Linked DNA regions of Lytechinus pictus. The protein of the gene in region 3 binds, or shares a complex with, the protein of the main gene of each other region. Links are inferred from orthologs where the notes say so. Each region holds a gene or a part of one and is shown on either strand. Other genes may lie near its edges. The genes, in order: small nuclear ribonucleoprotein G-like, U6 snRNA-associated Sm-like protein LSm7 and U4/U6 small nuclear ribonucleoprotein Prp4-like.

Evidence for each region.
Region 1: U4/U6 small nuclear ribonucleoprotein Prp4-like (region 3) and small nuclear ribonucleoprotein G-like share a complex: the UniProt entries of both Homo sapiens proteins name them as parts of the U4/U6-U5 tri-snRNP complex. The link is inferred for Lytechinus pictus from reciprocal best matches to the Homo sapiens genes PRPF4 and SNRPG.
Region 2: U4/U6 small nuclear ribonucleoprotein Prp4-like (region 3) and U6 snRNA-associated Sm-like protein LSm7 share a complex: the UniProt entries of both Homo sapiens proteins name them as parts of the precatalytic spliceosome. The link is inferred for Lytechinus pictus from reciprocal best matches to the Homo sapiens genes PRPF4 and LSM7.

What each region holds. Positions count from the first base shown.
Region 1 is NC_087256.1:12,712,957-12,716,709, reverse strand, and holds the start of small nuclear ribonucleoprotein G-like, read right to left. Parts: upstream 2,884-3,753; 5' UTR 2,747-2,883; coding exon 2,715-2,746; intron 1-2,714. UniProt on the Homo sapiens protein: Plays a role in pre-mRNA splicing as a core component of the spliceosomal U1, U2, U4 and U5 small nuclear ribonucleoproteins (snRNPs), the building blocks of the spliceosome.
Region 2 is NC_087247.1:61,096,680-61,100,432, reverse strand, and holds the start of U6 snRNA-associated Sm-like protein LSm7, read right to left. Parts: upstream 2,557-3,753; 5' UTR 2,443-2,556; coding exon 2,437-2,442; intron 1-2,436. UniProt on the Homo sapiens protein: Plays a role in pre-mRNA splicing as component of the U4/U6-U5 tri-snRNP complex that is involved in spliceosome assembly, and as component of the precatalytic spliceosome (spliceosome B complex).
Region 3 is NC_087259.1:20,214,664-20,218,416, reverse strand, and holds the start of U4/U6 small nuclear ribonucleoprotein Prp4-like, read right to left. Parts: upstream 2,718-3,753; 5' UTR 2,629-2,717; exon of another isoform or gene 2,574-2,628; intron 1-2,573. Other genes in the region: vesicle-trafficking protein SEC22b-like, read left to right, coding at 3,474-3,548. UniProt on the Homo sapiens protein: Plays a role in pre-mRNA splicing as component of the U4/U6-U5 tri-snRNP complex that is involved in spliceosome assembly, and as component of the precatalytic spliceosome (spliceosome B complex).

The DNA.
Region 1 (3,753 bases), on a different chromosome or scaffold from region 3:
ATTTTTAAGTTTGACAATGTTTCACTTTGAAATTTTATTCATTTCTATTACATTTTATTTTTTTAAGCTTTTAAAAATATATTTAAAAAACACCAAATATCATTATGATTTTTGTTAGACAATTGGATTTTTTTGTTTGCTTGAAGTTTGAACTTTTCCTCTTTCTTTTATATCTTTCTTTCTTCATTCTTCTATCCTTCCTGCTTGCCCTTTTTCTGCTCCATCTATCTTTATTTCCTATCTTTCTTCTCTGATCCTTTCTCTAGCTCTGTGTTCATTTTTCTTTATTTCCCACTTTCTCTTACTTTCCTTCTTTTTCAAAATTTATTTTTTTATTTCCTTCATTCTTCCTTTCCTTAAACTTTTCTTTGCTTCCTTCTCCCTTTTCTTTTTGTTCTTTCTCTCCTTCCATTATCAGGGCGCGACAAACCCGCTTGCCCGGGGCAAGTGAAAATGACGTGCGGGCAAGCATTTCTCAAAGTCAATTGCCCGATCGGGCAAGTGGTTGTTTTGAAAATGAACAAGATAAATTGACAGTAAAGTTTAATAATTTTTTGATAAATTGCAATTATCGGCCAATTATCTCTCATACAATGTCATACCAGTAAAAAAACAGTGGAAACATGTCAAATCAGCGCCAATTTACCAACAAAAGGCGACAATTTATCGCCAGCGGTACGCGTCCCGTTCGATGGAGGCTGCCATCTTACTTTCTAAACTACAATGTGCGCATGCGCTACTAATCGACGAAGGAGCTAGCTGGGGAAACCCCTCTCTCGCCCTCTGAGCGCATGTACGGACGTACACGAGCGATCGCGATCGAGCCAGCCGAGTCTCGAGCTAGATCGCGCTGAATGCATGCAAGCTTCGGACTGACTCGGCCAGGACCAGACGTCCCGTATTTTATTCATTTCTAAAACATTTTAGTTTTTTTTTTTTTTTTTATATATAAAAGAAACACCAAATATCATTAGGATTTTTGTTATATGATTGGATTGTTTTTAATTGCTTGAAGTTTGAACTTTTTCCTCTTTCTTTCTTTTCTATCCTTCTTGCCCTTTTTTGTTACATATCTATTTTTATTTCCTGATCCTTTCTCCCTCTCTCTCTCTGTTCATTTTCTTTCTTTCCTTCTTTCTCTTACTTGCCTTCTTTATTGCATTTCCTTTTTTTATTTCCTTCATTTCTTCTCCCTTCCACTCGTTTTTATTTTCGTTCTATCTCTCCTTCCGTTATTTTCTTTTTTTTCATTCTGGCCTCCCTTCATTCTTTCCTCCCTCTCTTTCCTCCTTTCTTTCTTTCATTATTTATTTCATTTTGTCCTTATTCTTTTCCCTTATACTTTTTCCCTTTCTTCCTTCCTTCCTGTTTTCTTCTTTCTTTCCAAGAATGAAGGCCAGAACAACTTGAACAAGAAAAAGAAATGCCAAGGGCAGCGCCAGTAAATCAAGTTCAGCCAGGACAGAAAAGAATAATTAAGAGCAAAAGAATTTTTGAAAAAAAATCGGGCAAGCAGTTTTTTCTATCGAGCAAGCAAATTTTTTTATCACTTGCCCGACAGGGCAAGTGATGAATTTTTTTTTGTAGAGGCCTGCATTATTATTTTCATTCTCTCCTCCCTCTCTTTCATTCTTTATTTTATTTTTTTCCTTTCCTTCTAATTCTTTTCCCTCATTCTTTCTTTCCCTCCATTCCTGTTTTTCTTCATTCTTTCCTCCTCCTTTTATCTTACTTTCTTTTTTCCTTTCTCTCCTTTATTTTGTCTTTCACACATTTATTCATCTTCCCTTCCTTTTTTTTTCTTTCTATATTCGTTTCAAAGAATGACGGAAACCTTTTTTCTCTTTTATTCTAACTTTCTTTTTATTTTTTTCATTTCCCTTCATTGTTTTCTTTCTTTCTTCTGAATTCATCTCTTTTCGTTCGTCTTTACTTTCTCTCCTTCATTCTTTTGTTCACCCTCCCTTCCAATTCTAAATATTTTTTCACAAGTCTAACAATGTGTAGCCTTCTTTGTTGATCCGCTCGTGCAGCATGCTGTCGATTGTCCCATATATCATTTTGTGAAATCTGGTCACCCTGAGTCCCGACCATCCATAAATGCATAATGACTTGCCATTTATCCAAGTTTTCTGACTTGACTTGTTTTTAATTTGAATCAACATGTTTACATTGTCATTGATGATTGACTGGCATGCTCCATTGCATTGGTGCTAGCACATCTTCACAGCCACATGTCAAATTTCTGGGATTTCTAGTAACTTGTGTGGAGAAAGCTGCGAAACTGCAATTAGCGCCAATGTCCGGACAATCACAATGTCAATGGACCCCCTCCTACTGCACGCGCGTTACCCATCGCACCACATCAAAATAAATGAATGGGACTTTCCGTCAACTCCATCAAAAATGCAAATGATGCCCCACATGATCAAGACGCGTAGTGTGAAAAAGGAAGAAAACATCACATTCATAACACAAAAAACGAATGGGAACACATTTCGGAGTAGCATCTAGACTCTACCACTATTTATAAGGATTATTCCATGCAATTATATTACAAAATATTTCCAATCTAAATAATCATCAAGGCAAGCGCACATAAATTCGCCAAACGCTAATTCTGAAGCAGCTATCCTAGCGCAAAGATTTAACAGTCAACACAATGGGCTATCCTTCAATATACTCCTTGAAAACGAGAAATTATATAAACATACTTCTTGAGTTCTGGTGGATGTGCTTTACTCATGATTTGGTGAGAAGATCGCAAAGATTTCTGAAGATTTAAATCAGATTCAGTTTGGGTTCCGAAAAGGCGAAGCAGAAACGATCCGAATTTGTGAAGTCAAAAGACTATTTTTTTTTCTTTCGTTGTATGGTATCGGCAATCAACCACTAGGCGTTGTGGCGTGCGCCTGTAATCCAAGCTGTGGGGAAGTTACAAATTGATGCAGAGGTTCGAGGTTCGAGCCCTGGTCACGTCTTTCGGATAGTGACGTTAAAGGTCGGTCCCAGACGTAAATAATCATATCTGATTGATACACGTCTGACAAAACTCAAATACACACACACACTCGCCACTCAAACCAACATAAGAAGAAGATGGTTGTCAATTAGGCCTATCTCTCTTTCTCTCTCTCTCAGGGTCTCTGTTCCTCTGGCGGATCCGGGGGGGGGGCACAGCCGACCCGTGCGCCCCCCCCCTTTCGAGAGGCACAATTAAAATTTGTAATTTAAAGATGCTATTAAAACACAAGTGTGCCCCACCCCCCTTAAAAGTGAAGACCGTGGACGAAATGTTCTATATGGTTGAAAAAAAAAATTAATTTTTTTTTCTTGCTTGTCAAAAATTTTCGTGGACGAAATATCCTTGAATTTTGGTTGAAATCCTTTTTTTTTTTTTTGCTTGTCAAATTTTTCCTCGGGAAAATGTGCCCCTCTTTGGAAAATCCTGGATCCGCCCCTGCTCTGTTCAATTTAATATTTTGATGCCAGGTATATTTTCGAATTAATTATTTTGTACAATGTGCGGAAGATGAGTAAAGAACAGCATAATAGTCGTACCACAGATTCAGAACGCATTGTGCTGGGTTGTTTGTGTGCGTCAGTATAGGCTCAAGATTATCCCTTGCCAATGTTCAAACGGACTTTTAATAAAGGTCAAGTTCGCCACCAAAGAAAAATATTGATTTGAATAAATAAACAAAATATTAAAAAGCATAACGCTGAAAATTTCATCGAACCCGTTATAAAATA
Region 2 (3,753 bases), on a different chromosome or scaffold from region 3:
GTCGAGACGATTTTGTGACCACTCGCAAAGCATTTCGGGATTGAATATAACCACCTTATTTTCTCTGAGCTCTTCGCTGAACCCATCATCACAGTGCAGCTGCAGCGCAGCGCGCAGCCAATACAATGCATCCGATGCATGGGTTGTTTTTTCGCCGTCCATGCCATGGTCTCGGACTCAGAGTTGAAATTTAGACCCGGATTTCGGGGATACAGCGCCTTTATTTCAGATTTATAGACTTAAAAGTCAAATGACATTTAAAATTTGAAATCTAACCTTGAACAATCATCGTTGATAAACATCAGCCCTGAAGCCATTACACTTCAAATCAGGCCAGGCAAATTAGATGTCATTGTCTAAGTTGCTAGATCTATGACGAGTCGCCTGAAGCCCCAGCGCATCATCAACGTCACTAGCTAGCTGCGCGACCGGCCCAGACTCGGCGCACCCAGGCCAGAAAAATGACCTCGATTATTACGGTGGTTGTCTATGCATTTATTAGTGGTGCAGCGAAATTCAGCAGAAGAAAATAAGAGATATGAGGTATCCTCGTCACAGGCTTAATATTCCAAAATGAGGAAAAATGTCAAAATCATGATTATTTAAGCTAAATATTTTCTTTAAAAATGAAAGTAATATTTTTAATATTTATACCCAGAATAACCGATCTAATAATTGTTCATTAAAAAATATTTGAAATTAACAAATGAAAAAAAATCAACTCGACAAATTTCCCAAAACACCACCTTATTTTTTAAAGTGGTCACAAAATTCGAGCGGAGTTGACCTTCCTTAGAGCAACACGCTTGTGTGTTGCTGCCCTCTACGTTCGTTGGTTTGAGCCTTGGCCCTTGGCTTGACTACAAGACACTGTCACTGGCCTATTCCATCCCGTCCCAGGCTCCATGGAGAGTAAGCCTACGTCAGTAAATGACTTTTACTCTCTAGGAGCTTCCAGGCTACCCAAAACATTGAGTCTACCCTCTTGCTACTAGTAGTCGCCGACGTATTATAGCTATGCCAGCTAGTATGGTTACCTTCCGGGCCCCGGCGGCGGCCGGCCCACTTGGCTTAATTCGCAGTCCGGAGCTCTCTGGGTTACAGACACGTTATATTGAGCTACCGTACCGTATGGGCACTAGTATTCAACCCGGCATAATTCAAAGATTTTTACAAATTCCCCCAAATATTTAGAAATAGGGAATTTATCTTAATTTCATACCTCTGTTATTTCCAGGGTAATCTGTTGTCGGTATTTTCTTTATCGATCTGTCGACTGTATGCGCGGAGGATCGAATTATGCGGCAATGACCTTTTGCACTGAATTGCACTAGTATTCAACCTAGTGATGATAGACAGCAAATTTAAAAATGGTTTAGACTGCAATACTAGATCTAGATCTATGTAAGTCTCTGGCTTTGACTAATTCCCTGTTCGGTCTCATCTCAAATGGTCTAGTCCTTAGTTGGATGGGACAAGGACAGATTGAGAGACAGGGCCATCTTTCGTTGCTAGGTTGAATACTAGTGCCAAAAACCATTGCCGTATAATTCGATCGCCCGCACACACAGTCGACTGGTTGAAAAAAAAAAAAAATAACGCAAAAAGAATAACCAGCATTTGGTCTTGGAAATAACACAGGTCTGAAATTAAGGTAGAATCCATATTTCTATATATTTGAGGAAACTCTCCAAACGGGTTGAATACTAGTGCCCTTACGATACCTTACTGAGCTGACTGAGCTGGCTGAGCAGAGCCTGAGGCCGAGCACTCATTCAATGAACAAGGTTATGATATAACCTTGTTCTCAGTTATATCTCCATGTGTGGCAAAATAAGGGTGGCAATGTTTGGCTTATTTTCTCTTTTTCTTTGGGACAAATGCTTGATTTTTTTACACTGACAGTTTCCATTACACTTATTCATCATACAACTTGGCCCTTAAGTAAATTTGATTCTTTACATTATTTTTTTCTTAATTAAAGATAAAAATAATTAGAGATAAAAAAAATATAATTTTCTTGCCATATTACTTTCCACCAATAGAGGGCGTACACAAAAATATGCCCAGAATTCAAGGTTTTGAGCGCCCTAGTGAATACAAAAATTATTCCCAAGTTACTAATGAAAAATAAATTGCAACTGTTTAGAAATTAGTAATTTTGGTCACAAAAGTGATATTTTAATGATTTTTTGAAGTGTGTGCTCTGTACATCATTGGCATGCCATAGACCTACGGTACCTGTACTGTAGATTCCCCACAGGCAGGGATGGTTGCAGTGAACAAGTGAGGCCGAGTAACTTTTTATTCTTCCTTTTTCTTCCTCCTCCAGACTATGTCCTCTTAACAGTCCTATGCCATAAAACTAAGGATTACCATAAAAATTGTCATTGATACTACATATTAGAAATCAGATTAATCATTATTAAAACTTACTGCCATGGATGTTGCTTGGGATCTTTCACCACGACTCTTATTTGTTAGCACCAAGTACAAAGATTCATGTTATAATTTATGCGAATTGCACCGTATATACCGTATACCGTACTGTACAATACCGATACCGTACTACCAACGAACGTAGAGGGCAGCAACCACTGATCTGCTGATCTCCAGAGTTATCAATAGACAGAGTGGCGACACGCGCACTGAAAACAGGATACGCGCGGTCAAAGGTCAGCCATGGGGGGCTGATTAGTTCCCTCTGCGCGCACATGCAATTATTTGGCAATCATCGCTATTATCATAATTGATTGTCGACAAACTAGCCTAGGTCCGGAAGAAATGATAATGAATCTAATGTAATTTCTTCTCTTTGGTTTAGAGCTTCATGATAGATCCCCCATTTTGGTTTGTCTGGCATTATCATTAATATTATTCTAGATGAATTCCACTTTTTTATTGAAAATTAATGTGATGAATTATAGAGACTTGATTTACTCACCGATGAATGAAAAATGGAAATAAAGAGGAAAATAGGCAAATAAGGAATATGGGAACACGAAAAATTAACAAGGTGATGCTGAAGACATAATGGACTGGAAAACTCGGGGGAAGGGGGCAGCAGGGTGACCAGATTTCACAAAATGAAATACGGGACAATCGACAAAATAATCAACATAGAAGGCTACACATGTACAGTGTTATACACTTGTGAAAAAAATATAAAGAATGGGAAGGAAGGGTGAACGAAAGAAATAAGGAGAGAAAGAAAATGCGAAAGAAGGAAAAGATATTAATTGAGAATAAAGAAAAAAAATAAAGGGGAAAATGAAGGAAAAAATAAAAAAAGTTAGAATAAAAGGATGAAAAAGAATAAAAGAGAGAAAAAAGGTTTCCGTCATTCTTTGAAATGAATATAGAAAGAAAGAAAAAGAAAGGGAGGGAAGATGAACAAAAATTAATGTGTGAAAGACGAAATAAAGGAGAGAAAGAAAAAAAAAAGTAAGAAAATTAAAGGAGCGGAAAGATAAATGTTTCCTTCATTCTTTGAAAGAAACAATAAAAGAAGAAAAACAGGAAGGGATCGGGAAGCTAGGGAAGGAAGGAAGAAGGATGAAAGGGAAAGAAAGAATAAGGGAAAGGAATAAGAAGGAAAAAAAAATAAAGAATGAAAGAATTGGGGAGAAAAGAGAGGGAAGAAAGAATGAAGGGATGAAAGAATAAAAAAAGAGAAAATAATGGAAGGAGAAAAAGAACGAAAAGAAAAAAGGAGAGAAATGGAGAAGGAAGCAAAGAACAGTTTAAAGAAAG
Region 3 (3,753 bases):
AAAGGAACATTTTATTAATTCTATAAATCACTTTAGGCCTAACTCGGGCAACTGAATTCCAATTGAATTCACAACAGTAACTGATAATTCTAACCGAATTCGTCAACATTGTCATCCACTTTCGATTGATGTTATTAGCAATGATGACAATATTAAAAGGCCCCTTGTTTTAAATTAAAACGACCAAAAAAATTAGCTGCAGACCTCTGATATGTGAGGGACAGGCAAAATTGAGGGGCAATTTTCCAGCCTTTGATCTAGCAATGACGTCTTTTAAAATAACACTCGTGGAAGAGCCTTTTTAATTTTTTTTTCTTGGGGGGTCCATCATCCCTGGAACCGGATGTATTATTCAAATTAATAATAATATTGAAAATAACTATGATAACATTAAAAAAATAACACAGTTTAACTATTGAGGCCAAAAAGGAAATCACTAAGAATTAATCTCAATCACGTTAAAGGCAATATCAAAATGAGCCCTGGTCAAATTCGCCAACTTCGTCACCATCGTCATTCACCCGCTCATATTGCATTTTCACAGGCAATAAACATCTTTGTTTTAAGATTTTTATTAATAAAAATAATTGTAGGTATATTCTTAACTTATTTAGGCCTAACGTAGGCATATCATTTGCCCTATCATTTGAGAAAGATGTAGACTTCAACTCAATCACGCAAAGGCAATCAAAATGAGCCTTGGTCAAATTTACCAACTTCGTCACCATCGTCATTCACCTGCTCAAATTGCATTTTCATAGGCAATAAACATCTTTGATTTAAGATTTTTATTCATGAAAAATAATTTTAGATATATTCTAAACTTATTTAGGCCTAACAGAACAAAAAATGGATTAAGAGAAGTGTTTCACTTGCGAGGAGCAACGTATCTGCACGCTCTTCCCTCCTTACAAACACACCGGCAAAACACTCAATGTTGCGCGACCGAATTCTGGTCGAGCGCCCTCTCACTATAGGGGCAATGTATAAGCCCTCGCTACTCATCAGTTTCACTGCTAGTTGCATATTCGCTGCGACTGGGTGAACACACAAGTCTTCCCCTTCACACTCGTACCAAATTCACTACACCTACACACGAAGTCATGACGTCACAAGAGTTTACATGAGGCTGCGTCCGCTTAACTCAATAGCTAAGAAACCCGGAAGTAAACAAAACCCCCCCGACGCGGTCAATTTTAAGGTTAGTTTTTGGCTGTGTGCTTGTCTTAATCGACATTTTTTTTGAGGTGGGCTGGAAGTGCTGGTTTCTTGCATGATATGCCAAAGTTTTCTGGCTCATGCATTATTTTTTTTTTTTCAACAGCTGTTGAAACAGCTGTCTGACCGAATTCTGGGAGGTGACCGAATACCGGGCGCGTTACCCTATTTTATTTATTGGTGCCCATAATTAGTAAATTAATCATAAGAATTGCGCATTCAAAGAATTTAGACACAGTTATAAAATTACCGAGGAGCTGAATCAAGGTTGTGAAATTTATTAGCGCCACCAACGGGCTTCCTTGTATTTCCGTAGAAGAGACAAACGAAGTCACTTGCTAGGCCGAGGTAAGCGAAATTTGCTCTTTTTAAATGAAATGAGTTAAATATCATATGTATAATTTTGTTATGTATTGCTACTTACCGGAAAGAGCCCCGGTGCGTAGCGAGAAGGAGTTTCGGCAAATATTACTTCAGCAATGAAGCAATGTTTGCCGACTAGTTCGAAATCTACGGTCAAACACGGTCCGGTGTACGAGGTTCGTATAATATATACGAACCTCGTATTAGTTAACCCAGAGAGCTCCCGCCCGCGCAGCGGGCGGGAGCCCAGAAGCTTACCGTGTATTTTACCATTGTCACCGGACTAGGGTGATTTATGGTCTAAATATTTCTCAAAATGAATTGTGAAAACAGAAAGTATACAATTACCACGATTATATGGATGAAGGTCTAACGAGTGGCAGTTTCCTGACATCTGGGCACAGACTGGAACCTCAAAAAAACGAAAAGTTCTCTCCTTCTACCCCCGTTTCGATCGGCCATTTTTGTTAAAAATTGTAACAAAATGGCCGATCGAGACTGGGGTAGAGGAGAGAACTTTTCGTTTATTTGAGGTTCCAGTCTGTGCCCAGATGTCAGGAAACTGCCACTCGTTAGACCTTCATCCATATAATCGTGGTAATTGATTGTATACTTTCTGTTTTCACAATTCATTTTGAGAAATATTTAGACCATAAATCACCCTAGTCCGGTGACAATGGTAAAATACACGGTAAGCTTCTGGGCTCCCGCCCGCTGCGCGGGCGGGAGCTCTCTGGGTTACGTATTAGTGTGAGTGATACCGCCCCGGCCCTGCCAGATCAGATGCATTCTGCCATTTTCACCTTCTTCAATTGAACTTTTTTACCACGCAATTTTAAATACGTGGGACATACATTACGCAATTCAGAGCTGAGTCAGGTACACCACACATCCACGGCAAGACTTATTATATACTTGACATTATTCAATTGATTGAATAAAAATGAAAATTTAACATAAAAAAACAGTGAAATATTCATTTTAATACGTACATTATCAATCAATAGGGGGGAAATACGTAATACGAAATATAAGAAAGCTCCTCACGTTCGAAGTTCGTCGGTCAAAGTAGTTGAAGATAGCCACTACAAAGTTGACTGTTCGTTTATTTTGCAATTAAAGAATTTCAACAATATGTTTGGGGTTCAAATATATTAAATAAATTCAATTCTTTTTAATTTGAAACTTAAAAGTCTAAAAATATTATTTTTAAACTATTTTTTTTGATAAAAATAAAAAAAATCATTGACCCGTATTTTATTTTTAATACTTGGAAATACGATTCTTAAATTGATATTTTATTCATTACCACTCTCTCTTACCTTTTTCCTCTTCGGATTTCATGGTCAATACCAGACGTCATAGTATTATAAAATTCAATAAAACTGCACGTTATAAGTGTTTTACTTCGTCTATGATTGTATTATTTATTTTTTAATTGAAGATCTTCCAAAATAGTTGCGTTCTCTAAATTAAATCTTTGAGAAATGCAATTTATGCATTCGAAATTGATAATTCATCTTCAAAGTTTCTGCTGTGCGTTTTGAGATAAGGCTAATTTTGTGGTACACGTATGAATCTCTTTTTAGATCCTATACCACCCTGGAATTTCGATTTCAATTGAATTTCAGGTATACCATTTGGTTATCTTGCTATATTCGACACATTTCTCAAGGTTTTAACGAAGCAGTAAGAGAAGAGCTATCCACGCTCATCGGGAATCGACGTGCTGAGAGCTTAGAAGATCTCTGTATAACCTAGTTCAGCATCACTAGCTCCACGTATTGATTTTGCTGTAGGCAAACCTGAGGAACAGTTGCACTTGCAGTTGTCTTGTTGACCAGTCCATCCATCCATTCCTTTCTCTTTTTCATCATAAACAATTTCTCAAGATGGTTTTGATGACGATGATAGCCCGTGTCGCTGACGGGCTGCCCTTAGCAGCCTCGATGCAGGAGGATGAACAAGTAAGTTTATCTAGAATACTCATTAGAGAAAGAAAACCAAACAAATTGCATAAGTAAAAAAAAATAATAATAAAAGTACCGGTAAGTCAAAACGAGCCAGTGCAGTGTCCGTCAGTCTCCCCCTCTTTTGTTTGTGTCTGTGTGTGTGTGAGGGGGGGGGGGTGTTAATGTTATTTTGAATATGCAAACTAGTCAGTTTTGACTA